Linked DNA regions of Rattus norvegicus. The protein of the gene in region 1 purifies or fractionates together with the protein of each later gene. This does not show direct contact. Links are inferred from orthologs where the notes say so. Each region holds a gene or a part of one and is shown in the gene's direction. Other genes may lie near its edges.

Region 1 (3,348 bases):
TGTTGGATGAGGGAAGGCCTGTCAGTGAAGCCCCAATGTCCCACTTTATAGCCAGGCCTGGCTGGGTGGCCCTGGGGATGTCACCACGCCTCTCTGGGCCCTGATCCCTTCCTGGCCCAGAGGCTGCTGGGAAGGCCAGAAAGCCGCAGGCAGGGCTAGTGTCTTATCCTTTCCCTCCCTGCCCCCCACCCCCAAGGGCACAGGGAGATGTCATTTCTCCAGCTCTTGGGGGCGGAGGTCACCCCAGCTCAGCAGATAACACCGAAGGTTGAGCAACACCCCGCCAGCTTGCCGGGGCCAGGCCTGGGGTCAATGGGTCGGGGGTCAGCCCCAGGCAGGTTGGCAGCTCCCGCTTGAGTGGCCCGGCTGGGAGTGGCAGAAGAGTGGGCCCCCAAAGTTGTCCTGGGCCTTCTCGGAAGAGTCTCACCGGGGAGAGGCTGGTGGTCCAACCTGGTGCCCATTCAAGTGCATGGAGAGTTTGTTTTTCCAGCTCTCCGGGTGACCGTTGCGTCCTTACGACTGGACTTGGGTCTGCCATGTTCCCACCGCAACCACCTGAGGAGCTGCAGCCTCCGGGGAGGGCTGTGCGGGTCTTTCTTGGGGTCCATTTGTCTCTGATACCCGGACACCACTACCGACAATACCAACACTGTCCACGGAGGAAACTCAGAGGAGCAAAGTGACTCACCCACAGACACAGTGTGGCAGAACCCCCACCCTTGCCACCTTCGCGGAGAGGCGTGGGGAGTGGAGTAGGCTGGTGCGGTGGGCGGGCCATACAAAGGGTTGAGGGTTGGGATCCGGGGACAGTAAGCATCCCCGGGGTGGGCGTGCACAGGGTGGAGAGTTCTGCTTCCAGGAGTTGGGGTCTCAGAGGCGTGGGCAGCACCTGGGTGGGCGGACATGCACCGGGTGGAAGGCTGTTTCCAGGGAGTTGGGGACCGGGGACAGCGGGCGGGATCCGACGGTTGGGGTCGTGCACCGGGTGGACTGATCTGTTTCCCAGAAGTTGGGGGCCCGGGAGAGCGGACAGGAGCCGGACCAGTCACCGCGTCCTCCAGCAGGGGGCGGGCGGCGGCAGCGCTCCTCAGTGTTCCCGAGGGGCGGGAAGGGGGCGGGCTAGCGTCACCCGCGTCCGTGGCGATCGCGGGGCTGGCGGGGCGCCCAGGACACCGCTCAGTATCCCGCGCGCGGACCCCCGCCGCTCCCCACTCCCCGCCGCGCCCTCTCGCGCTCCCGCGGCCGGGCAATGACGCGCACCGACCCGGCGGCGGGGCGGCGGGAGGGGCCCCGGCGTGACGCAGCCCGTTGCCAGGCGCCGCCTTATAAACCTCCCGCTCGGCCGCCGCCGAGCCGAGTCCGAGCCGCGCACGGGACCGGGACGCAGCGGAGCCCGCGGGCCCCGCGTTCATGCACCGCCTGCTGGCCTGGGACGCAGCATGCCTCCCGCCGCCGCCCGCCGCCTTTAGACCCATGGAAGTGGCCAACTTCTACTACGAGCCCGACTGCCTGGCCTACGGGGCCAAGGCGGCCCGCGCCGCGCCGCGCGCCCCCGCCGCCGAGCCGGCCATCGGCGAGCACGAGCGCGCCATCGACTTCAGCCCCTACCTGGAGCCGCTCGCGCCCGCCGCCGCGGACTTCGCCGCGCCCGCGCCCGCGCACCACGACTTCCTTTCCGACCTCTTCGCCGACGACTACGGCGCCAAGCCGAGCAAGAAGCCGTCCGACTACGGTTACGTGAGCCTCGGCCGCGCGGGCGCCAAGGCCGCACCGCCCGCCTGCTTCCCGCCGCCGCCTCCCGCCGCACTCAAGGCCGAGCCGGGCTTCGAACCCGCGGACTGCAAGCGCGCGGACGACGCGCCCGCCATGGCGGCCGGCTTCCCGTTCGCCCTGCGCGCCTACCTGGGCTACCAGGCGACGCCGAGCGGCAGCAGCGGCAGCCTGTCCACGTCGTCGTCGTCCAGCCCGCCCGGGACGCCGAGCCCCGCCGACGCCAAGGCCGCGCCCGCCGCCTGCTTCGCGGGGCCGCCGGCCGCGCCCGCCAAGGCCAAGGCCAAGAAGGCGGTGGACAAGCTGAGCGACGAGTACAAGATGCGGCGCGAGCGCAACAACATCGCGGTGCGCAAGAGCCGCGACAAGGCCAAGATGCGCAACCTGGAGACGCAGCACAAGGTGCTGGAGCTGACGGCGGAGAACGAGCGGCTGCAGAAGAAGGTGGAGCAGCTGTCGCGAGAGCTCAGCACGCTGCGGAACTTGTTCAAGCAGCTGCCCGAGCCGCTGCTGGCCTCGGCGGGTCACTGCTAGCCCGGCGGGGGTGGCGTGGGGGCGCCGCGGCCACCCTGGGCACCGTGCGCCCTGCCCCGCGCGCTCCGTCCCCGCGCGCGCCCGGGGCACCGTGCGTGCACCGCGCGCACCTGCACCTGCACCGAGGGGACACCGTGGGCACCGCGCGCACGCACCTGCACCGCGCACCGGGTTTCGGGACTTGATGCAATCCGGATCAAACGTGGCTGAGCGCGTGTGGACACGGGACTGACGCAACACACGTGTAACTGTCAGCCGGGCCCTGAGTAATCACTTAAAGATGTTCCTGCGGGGTTGTTGCTGTTGATGTTTTTGTTTTTGTTTTTTGTTTTTTGTTTTTTTTTTGGTCTTATTATTTTTTTGTATTATATAAAAAAGTTCTATTTCTATGAGAAAAGAGGCGTATGTATATTTTGAGAACCTTTTCCGTTTCGAGCATTAAAGTGAAGACATTTTAATAAACTTTTTTGGAGAATGTTTAAAAAGCCTTTTGGGGGCAGTAGTTGGCTTTTGAAAAAAAATTTTTTTTCTTCCCTCCTGACTTTGGATTTATGCGAGATTTTGTTTTTTGTGTTTCTGGTGTGTAGGGGGCTGCGGGTTATTTTTGGGTTGTGTGTGGTGGTGGGTGGGGGTGTCGCATCTGGGTTTTTCTCCTCCCCTGGCAGATGGGATGCCAGCCCCTCCCCCCAGGAGAGGGGGCAGAGTGCCGGGTCAGGAATTCAGGGTGACTCAGCACCCATGGGTGCCGGGGACCTTGCTAGAAACCCTGCTTGGGACGGGCCGCCCTCTGGGCTTGGTTTGAGTATCAGGCTTGTGTTGACTAGGCAGGCAGTGACTATGTAGGAAGGGCTAGTCCAGACAGCCGGATCAGGGAGGTGAGCACTGTGTTCAAAGTACTGTGTGTTTGGTGGTGTGTAGCGCCCCCCCCACCCCATCCCATGTCTGTTTGGTTTCTATGTCCCTGTGTAGCTGGAAGAGAGACTGGGCCAAGAGGAGGGCGAAGGGGACAGACAGTTCCTTCTCCACTTTCCCTTTCTCACTACT
Region 2 (4,124 bases), about 98 Mb from region 1:
GTGGGAAGAATGCTGTTCTCATTGGCGCCCTTTAGTCCTCTTTAAAACATTAATACCGATTTCTTAAGCTTTAAAAGAATGAAACGATCCTATTGAAATTGGTATTTTTAAATTATTTCGGTCTTATGTGCATTGGTGTTTTGTCAGGTCTCCTGGAAGTGGAGTTACAGACCAGTGTGGGTTGCATGTGGGTGCTGGGGATTGAACCCAAGTCCTCTGGAAGAGCATCTAGTGCTTTTAACCGCTGAGACATCTCTCCAGTCTCTAAAATTAGTATTTTTATATGTAACTAAGTAAAGGAAATTTGAGAAAAGAAAATCCCATAATTCCAAGGATTTTTCTCCAGGAAAAAGATCGTTGCTTTGTTTTAAAATATGACATGGGATTGGAAGACGGTGTATTTCCTTCTGATCACTGCCTTTGAACATACTCGTATGTGCTGTAATACACCATGTACTTGACGCAGGGTGGGGGCGAAGATCAGCTCCAGTTCTGGCTTCGTAAAATCCAAACAAAGACCTCTCTGAGAAAAGGTTTCTTTTTTCTACACAGGGCTGACTTATTTTGCTTCACTCCGCACACGGGGTGATGACTGCCAAATCCTTTCTCCAAAACCTTTAAGCGTAGCTCCCCGGCTCTGGCTTCTGGGTATTCGGAGGGTGGTTCAGAAGCGTCTCCCTTTATATCCCCATATCCCTAGAGAGGCCGGAAACCAAGATGAAGGAGACACCAGCAGCCGGGGCTGGGTTCCTTTAGATTCCCCCGACCTCACCTTTCTTCTCTCACACCGCCCACGCCCTCCTGTACTCTCCACCGCCACCTGCGCGCGCGCCCCAGATCCGGTACCGCCTCCGGTGCCCGCCTCCCTATGGCTGCCAATCACAGCTTTCTGCAGTTCCCTGGTTACGGAAACAACGGTCCTTGGGCACCCTGGCCACGCCCCTTCGGAACTTCTTCCCGCCTTTCTTGCTCTTCGCCCAATCACTAGCGTCCGAGTGTTCTTTGGTTCCCGCCTCCCCGCCCCCCGCCCTCCCGAAGGCCCGCCCTTTTCCTGGTGTAGGACGGAGTCACCTGACCTGCAGGCGCTCCTTCGGAGGAAATCAGGAAGGGGCGTGTGCGTGAAGGGGAGGGGCGCGAGAAGAAAGCGGCGGGGATGCCGGGAGTGGGGCGGGGAGAAGGCTTGTCAGTCGGATCTCGCGAGAGAGGACGGAAGCCTGTGGGAGCCCGTGGCCTTTAAAGTGCGATTCAGCCCTTTCCTCCGGGGCTAGTTTGTAAACACGGCAGCGCTCCGGGCTCGCTGGTGGCTGAAAGGAACATGAATTAGTGACCTGGAAAGGTGAGTAATGGTGAAAGGGCCACAGGCTTGGAGGCTGTAGGGAGACGGAGGAAGAAGGTGCTAACATGGCGACGTCGCTGCCTGTAGTCCCCACCCCCCGCCTCCCACCCCTTTTGCGCCCCTGCTGTGGACCCCAACCCTCCGGACCGCTGTAGCCGCGCCTCCGCCTCAGGCCTGGCGGACCGACCGGACCGTTAGGTAACGCGCTGGGGCTCCGGCCCCTCCCTCGCGCGCTTTCCCAAGCGTGAGCGAGAAGGAATAACGGCTCCTCTCAGACCCCTCCCTCCGACTTATCCTCTTGTGTGGTCACTTGCGAGGTCCCCAGGGCGCTCTTCGGATCCGCCCATCTGACGGGGAGACCCCCACCTCAGGTCCTTGATCGGGCCGCCAAAGGGCCAATGCTGGGCTCCCCACCGGGCACCGGGCGATTGTGGACCGCGGGGTTTGGGATGAATCCGCGGTGACGGATTGGGGAGCTTGACTGAAAATCTGGCCGGGGTCTCTGGCCTCGGCGGAACATGACGGAGCCAATGGTATGGAGAACCTGGGGGCTGGTTGTCTCGGCCTTTTCTGTCCTTTCTGCCACCCTCATACTCTCGCCACCCCCCTCCCTTTCCAGGTGGGGCGGGGCTGAGGTGTGGGTGCAGGTTGATTCTGCTATTTCCCCCCATTCACTTCGACGGGTGTTCTGCACAGCTTTTGCAGGGAAATAATCTGCCTTGTATTACCCCAGGGACAAGGAAGAGAGGGAGGGAGGGATGTGTGTATGTCTCCCCATGGCGCTCACTCATTGAACCAAGACCTTGGAGGAGATGGGCATTATTTTTATGCAATAGGTAATATAAAATTGTCTCTTCTTAGTGGAGTCTCTTAGAACTGAGGAGGTGGAGTGAAACTACCACCAACATAATGGAGTAAAAGGGATTACTCATGGTGGACCCTTAGGCCTGTTGACTAATACCTAGATTACCTTGTGGAAGTCACAGTTTCTTGGGGATTATAAATTATGGACACGTTCACACCACATGCATGTAATGCTATATTTGAAATCTGACCAAACACCCACTATTCTGAGAAGCTTATTTTGTCCAATTTGAAGGAATTCTTAACCCTTGGCCATTGTCAAGTAATAACCTTTCCAGGAATACTACTCATTAAGCGCCAAATGGCCTGGGTCTCTTGCACCCAAATTGTAAGACTTTATAAAAGCTTATTTTAAAACAGTTAATTCTAGATGACTTCCTGAAATAGAATCTTGTATTTAAATTTGCTAAACCTATTTGAAGAATCCCTGCAATAAACTTTTTTCAAAAGCCAAGAGATTATTTTGTAAAGCATTCTAAAAACATATCCTATATAATTGGTCAAGAAAACTAAGTTCATAGATCTTTAAGGCCATTGATAGTGTTGAGTGATAATTAAACTTCTAGGTCTTAAAAATCATTAATAAGTAATTGCAGAGATGTTTTGATGGGTATTTAAATTTTTAAAGCTGTATTGTTTTGAGATGAATGATACTATCCACTAAAATCATGACTAACATTAAGTCAAGAAATCTAGGGTTTTTTTTAACTTTTAAAAAATCTTGAAAACTTGAGTTTTAATTATTTATCTGTACTCTCCTAATCAATTATATTGCTAGGTCTAGTAAACAGCTTTACCTTACCTGCTGTTTCCACTCATTTTTGCCTTTAGGCTCTTCCAATGTGTGTGTTTCTGTGAACTGGTATTTCTTTTATTACTCTTATTAAAATGCCCGTAGAAAAGTAAATAAATCTTTCATATTTAAAGCAAAATTTTTACTGAAATCCTCCTTGATTAGAATTCAATGAAGTAATTAGATAATTCAACTGACCTCTATGAAAATTATTACATATAATACTCCCAGTATTAACTTGTAACCTACAAAACCACCTGTCCTTATATAATCAATAGTTTAACATTTTGTCTTATATTCACATCTATTTCTTTAGACTGAAATTTTGCCTGAAATGCAACTTGTTCTGTTTGTTTTTTTTAAGGTTTACTTATTTTTGTGTTTTGCTTACATATATGTATGTGCACCATTTATGGGCAGTGCCCTTAGAGGATATTGTAAATCCTGAGTCCCTAAAACTAGAGTTACAGATTACTATGAACTACCATGTGGGTGCTAGGAACCTAGCCCAGCTTCCCTGCAAGAACACAGGAGCTGTTGAGCCATCCTAGTCCTTTGTTTGCTTTTCTACCCGTGCTAGGAAAGCTCTTTTCATTTATTTTTTTTTTTCAGACATAGTTTCTCTCTGTAGTTTGGCTATACTGGAACTTGCTTGTAAACCAGGCTGGCCTCCACCTCATAAAGATCCTGCCTACCTCTACCTCCCAAGTACTGGGACTAAAGGTATGCTCTTTTTTATTGAGGTCTACGTCCTCAAAACCTCTGTGTAATTTGTTTTTATTTTTACATTTGTGTGTGTATATATGCTTGTCTGCCTTCCTGCCTTGTGGATGATAGCATATTTATGGAGATTAAAGGACAACTTTGAGGAATAAATGTTCCCTTTCTCCAACATGAGTTCTGAGGATGAACCCCTGGTCATCAGGCGTGGTGGCAAGTGCTTTACTTACTGGACCATCTCATTAGCCCTATATGTAACTCTATAATGTTGAAGAAATAGTGATCACCATCATTATTATTGTCTTGGGGAGGCGGGAATTGTAGAAAAACACTTTCTTTGTTCTGTTTCTCAAAGTTAAAAAGTTAAAACAAGGTATCACTTCATAGAAAATGGAAGAATGCATGAGTCTT
Region 3 (3,954 bases), on another chromosome or scaffold:
CCACAACCTCCTCAAACAGCACCGCTCTCAGGAGAGTGTGGCTAAGGGGCAATGTGGTCATTTCTGATTCTAGCTTCAGTGGTTAATTAATTCAGTGGTTATTAATTTAAAATTCAAATTCTTGTTTCAAAGTGCAAATGCATTTTAAAGGCAGGTCTTGTGTCTTTAAAGCAGACTTTAATTTACTAATTTCAAATATAATTCCATTTTACTGAACAGGACTTAGATTTTGTTACTCACATGTGTGAATGCACATGCGTGTGACGGGAGATCATACAAAACCCTCAGGCCCGAGGCCGGAGAGATGGCGCCGTGGTTAAGAGCACTTCCCGCTCTTCCAGGGGACTGGAGCTCCCAGCATGTGCAATGGGTGGCTCACAGCAGCTGCTGATGATCCAACACTGACTTCTGGTCTCTGAAATCACCATGAATGCACGTGGCAGATATATACACAGACAGCAGATATACAGACACACAAGACCCCACAGCACACAAGACCCCACAGCCTTGGTATTTAAATGTGTGCCTTTCGGATTTTATAGGTGGCCCCTGAAGAAGATGAGAGAAAAAGGAGGCGGCGGGAAAGAAACAAAATTGCTGCTGCCAAGTGTCGAAACAAGAAAAAAGAGAAGACAGAGTGCCTGCAGAAGGTGAGTCCCGCCTGGCCCAACCTCCCCTGAGGGGAGGGAAATGCCAGCTGTAGGCAGAGGGTAGAGCAAAGCTATTAGCAAGGTGGAAGCAGGGGGGGAGGGGGGTGTTGGGGATTTAGCTCAGTGGTAGAGCGCTTGCCTAGCAAGCACAAGGCCCTGAGTTCGGTCCCCAGCTCCGAAGGAAAAAAAAAAAAGCATGGTGGAAGCGATTCTGGAGATGTATATGTGTACACATACATACACACACATGTATAGGCATATGTGTATATATATATCCATTTATATATACATACACATACACACACACACACACACACACACACACACACACACACGGCCAGCAAGCTGGCTCATGAGTAAAGGTCCTTGCAATGCATATGTGGCACCCTAGTTTGACACCCAGAACCCGCTGTGGAAGGAGAGAACTGGTTTCTAAACGTGACCTCTGACCTCCACATGCATGCTGTGGCACAAATCCCCAGCAGTTTCTAGACTTGCGGGTCACACCAGCCTATTTAAAGAGACTTTACTCATCAGTTTTAACAAATACAAACTGCAAAGCCCTGCCACTGCCTTTGGCTCTCAGGAAAAGCTTGCATTAATCTCTTCAAGTTACGGTGCTGAAGTGGTGCTTACAGTGCTCCTCCCTGGATCTGAACCCTCCTCTCTACTCCATGCTTATCCAGCACTGAGCACCCTGGGAGGCTGACACCCCACACCAAGCACCAGGGGTACAGCATGGGTTCACAGGCAAGGCAAGCTACAGAGCCTGGAAGTCTTTGCAGGGGCCATGTCTGCTCTCCCAAGTGTGTGCAGGGCAGCTTCTCAAAGAGATGTAAAAGCCTGGGTTGTCTGCTCGCTACTTCAGGGTCAGTGAAAAAAAACTTGGGCAGCTTTGGTGTTTCTGAGAATACGTCTGTGGACATGGGAGTCTTGGTGAGATCAGAAATTCAAAGACAACTCCACACCACCCGTTTGGGTTCCTCGATAGCTCCCACGATCCTGTGGGGCCCAGATGCCTTCCCCACGGGCAGTGAACTAGAGCAGCTCTCTCTGAGCCCTTGGTGCAGTTCCATCGAGCATGGGCGCCCGGCTCGGTGCTGTCCCTAAGCTTTCTTTCACGTCTCCCAACTTCAGAGCCCTCTACAGGAAACCCTGTACCTTCCACCTTCCACCTAGTTTGGTCCTCCCATCCTTGTGGTAGGACGGTTCTGCTAGCAGGTCTCAGTCTGGGGAGCCCCAAGGATTCCAGGTGGCCCCCCATCTCCCTGCCCCTTGGCTCCCTCCATAATGCTGCTGTCTGTTGATCATCCCTCAGGAGTCAGAGAAACTGGAGAGTGTGAATGCCGAACTGAAGGCCCAGATCGAGGAGCTGAAGAATGAGAAGCAGCATCTGATTTACATGCTCAACCTGCACCGGCCCACGTGTATCGTCCGGGCTCAGAACGGGCGGACGCCGGAAGACGAGAGGAACCTTTTTATCCAACAGATAAAAGAAGGAACATTGCAGAGCTAAGCAGAGGTGGCATGGGGGCAATTGGGGAGTCCTTACTGAATCCTCCTTTTCCACCCCAAACCCTGAAGCCATTGGAAAACTGGCTTCCTGTGCACTTCTAGAATCTCAGCAGCCACGAGCTGTTGGGTCAGGAGGGCCTGCGGTGACTACTGCGTTGTCCCACTCTGTCCCCGAGTGAACCGTGGAGCAGGCAGGAGCATCCTTTGTCTCACCGGCTCCAGGATTTAGGCCTTACCATCCCGGCCATTCTCAGATGACCTAGCTGGCCCCAGGCTGGGGTCCCATGCAAAGCAGGATCGCACTAATGGGATGCAGGCAGAAGTGTCTACCTTGACAGGTGGGGTGGGACCACGTCCTCCACTGCGGCTGACAACATCCCTCCTAGGGAAGATGGAGTGAGAACATTCATCATTGAAGTTGTCCAATGGCCAGGGTATGCTTTCTAGAAACTATGCTGTTCTGTCCTAGACTGACTGTGCATAGGGCATTCATTTCTGAGCCTGGTGTTGTGCTATTTAGATGTTTGTCTTGCACAACATTGGCGTGATTTTTTTCCGGGAGTTTCATCAGACCTGATTTCCGAGAGTTTGGGGGTCTGCCACTGTGGACAATATCCCCCAAAAGTGTTTGGGTGGCCATGTAAACTGGCTGATGACCAGCTGTGCTACTCTGTGCTGACCGAGGACTGATGCCTCCTTCCCCTGTACCCACTGCTGAGGAAGAACCCGGGCACAGCAGCTGTCCTTGGCTACAAACTGTTACAATGTCACAGAACGAAGGCACAAAGTCCCGCTTTCAAAGGGCGTAGGACTCCACACTCAGTGACAGGGCAGGAAGAGCCAAGGATTCTCCGTTTTCCCTTCCTTCCCACCAAAAACCACAGCCCGTGGAGACTGGTATTTGAAGCCAGGAGTGGGGCAAGGAAGGTGTCTGCACTGTGGGATGTTAACTGCGCTTTTGTCTTGAAGCTATTTTGAGATGCGGTCCAGAGTATTTCAGCTGGGAGGTCCCTCCCACTGGCCACCAGGGCTCTGGCTACTGTTAAAATTCTGATGTTTCTGTGAAATCCTCAGTGTTCAATCCGACTCAGTAGTATATTACAGTTTTCTGTAAGAGAGAACGTTACTTATTTATCCCAGTATTCCTAGCCTGTCAACGTAATAAAATATCAGAATGAGACCTGGTAAACCTTAGCGTGGCACTGGTTTCTGCTGAGTGTTGAAATGGTGATGATGCCTTTCTGTCATGGGGTGGTCAGCACTGAGTGTTTGGGGACGGATGGCTTCCTTCGTTCATGGGGAGACCACTAGGTAGGGCAGTTAGTAATTCATATTTTATGTGTATGGGTATTTTGTCTGCATGTATGTCTGTGTGCCACGTGCATGCAGTGCCTGGGGAGGCCAGAAGAGGAGGGCATTGGGTTCCCTGGAACTGGGGTTTCAGAGGGGTTGCAAGCTACCATGTAGTTGCTGGGAACGGAACCCAGATCTTCCCCGAGAGCACCAAGTACTGTTGTTAACTGCTGATCCATCTCACCACCTCCATTTATTTTTATTTATAATCGTGTGTGTGTGTGTGTGTGTGTGTGTGTGTGTGTGTGTGTGTGTGTGTGTGGTGTACATGAATGCAGTTGCCCACAGAGACCAGAAGAGCTCTTAAATACTGAGCCAGCTCTGCAGCCCAGGTGGGTGACTTCCCACTCCGTGCCTCTCATTGACAAACCCCGAAACAACGCTACAGGTGTGTCCTTCAAGCCACCTGTTTGGTGCTAAGATAGATTTTCGTTTG

What was found.
Region 2: the proteins of Cebpb (region 1) and Atf2 purify together in Homo sapiens (affinity purification with western blotting; 3 studies listed by BioGRID and IntAct, with this or other methods). This does not show direct contact. The link is inferred for Rattus norvegicus from reciprocal best matches to the Homo sapiens genes CEBPB and ATF2.
Region 3: the proteins of Cebpb (region 1) and Atf3 purify together in Homo sapiens (affinity purification with western blotting; 3 studies listed by BioGRID and IntAct, with this or other methods). This does not show direct contact. The link is inferred for Rattus norvegicus from reciprocal best matches to the Homo sapiens genes CEBPB and ATF3.

The regions. Positions count from the first base shown.
Region 1 is NC_086021.1:176,815,648-176,818,995, forward strand, and holds Cebpb (CCAAT/enhancer-binding protein beta), read left to right. Parts: upstream 1-1,357; 5' UTR 1,358-1,410; coding exon 1,411-2,304; 3' UTR 2,305-2,789; downstream 2,790-3,348. UniProt on the Homo sapiens protein: Important transcription factor regulating the expression of genes involved in immune and inflammatory responses. Also plays a significant role in adipogenesis, as well as in the gluconeogenic pathway, liver regeneration, and hematopoiesis.
Region 2 is NC_086021.1:79,199,818-79,203,941, reverse strand, and holds the start of Atf2 (cyclic AMP-dependent transcription factor ATF-2), read left to right. Parts: upstream 1-1,196; 5' UTR 1,197-1,336; intron 1,337-1,468; exon of another isoform or gene 1,469-1,869; intron 1,870-4,124. UniProt on the Homo sapiens protein: Transcriptional activator which regulates the transcription of various genes, including those involved in anti-apoptosis, cell growth, and DNA damage response.
Region 3 is NC_086031.1:105,281,837-105,285,790, reverse strand, and holds the end of Atf3 (cyclic AMP-dependent transcription factor ATF-3), read left to right. Parts: intron 1-542; coding exon 543-650; intron 651-1,968; coding exon 1,969-2,166; 3' UTR 2,167-3,354; downstream 3,355-3,954.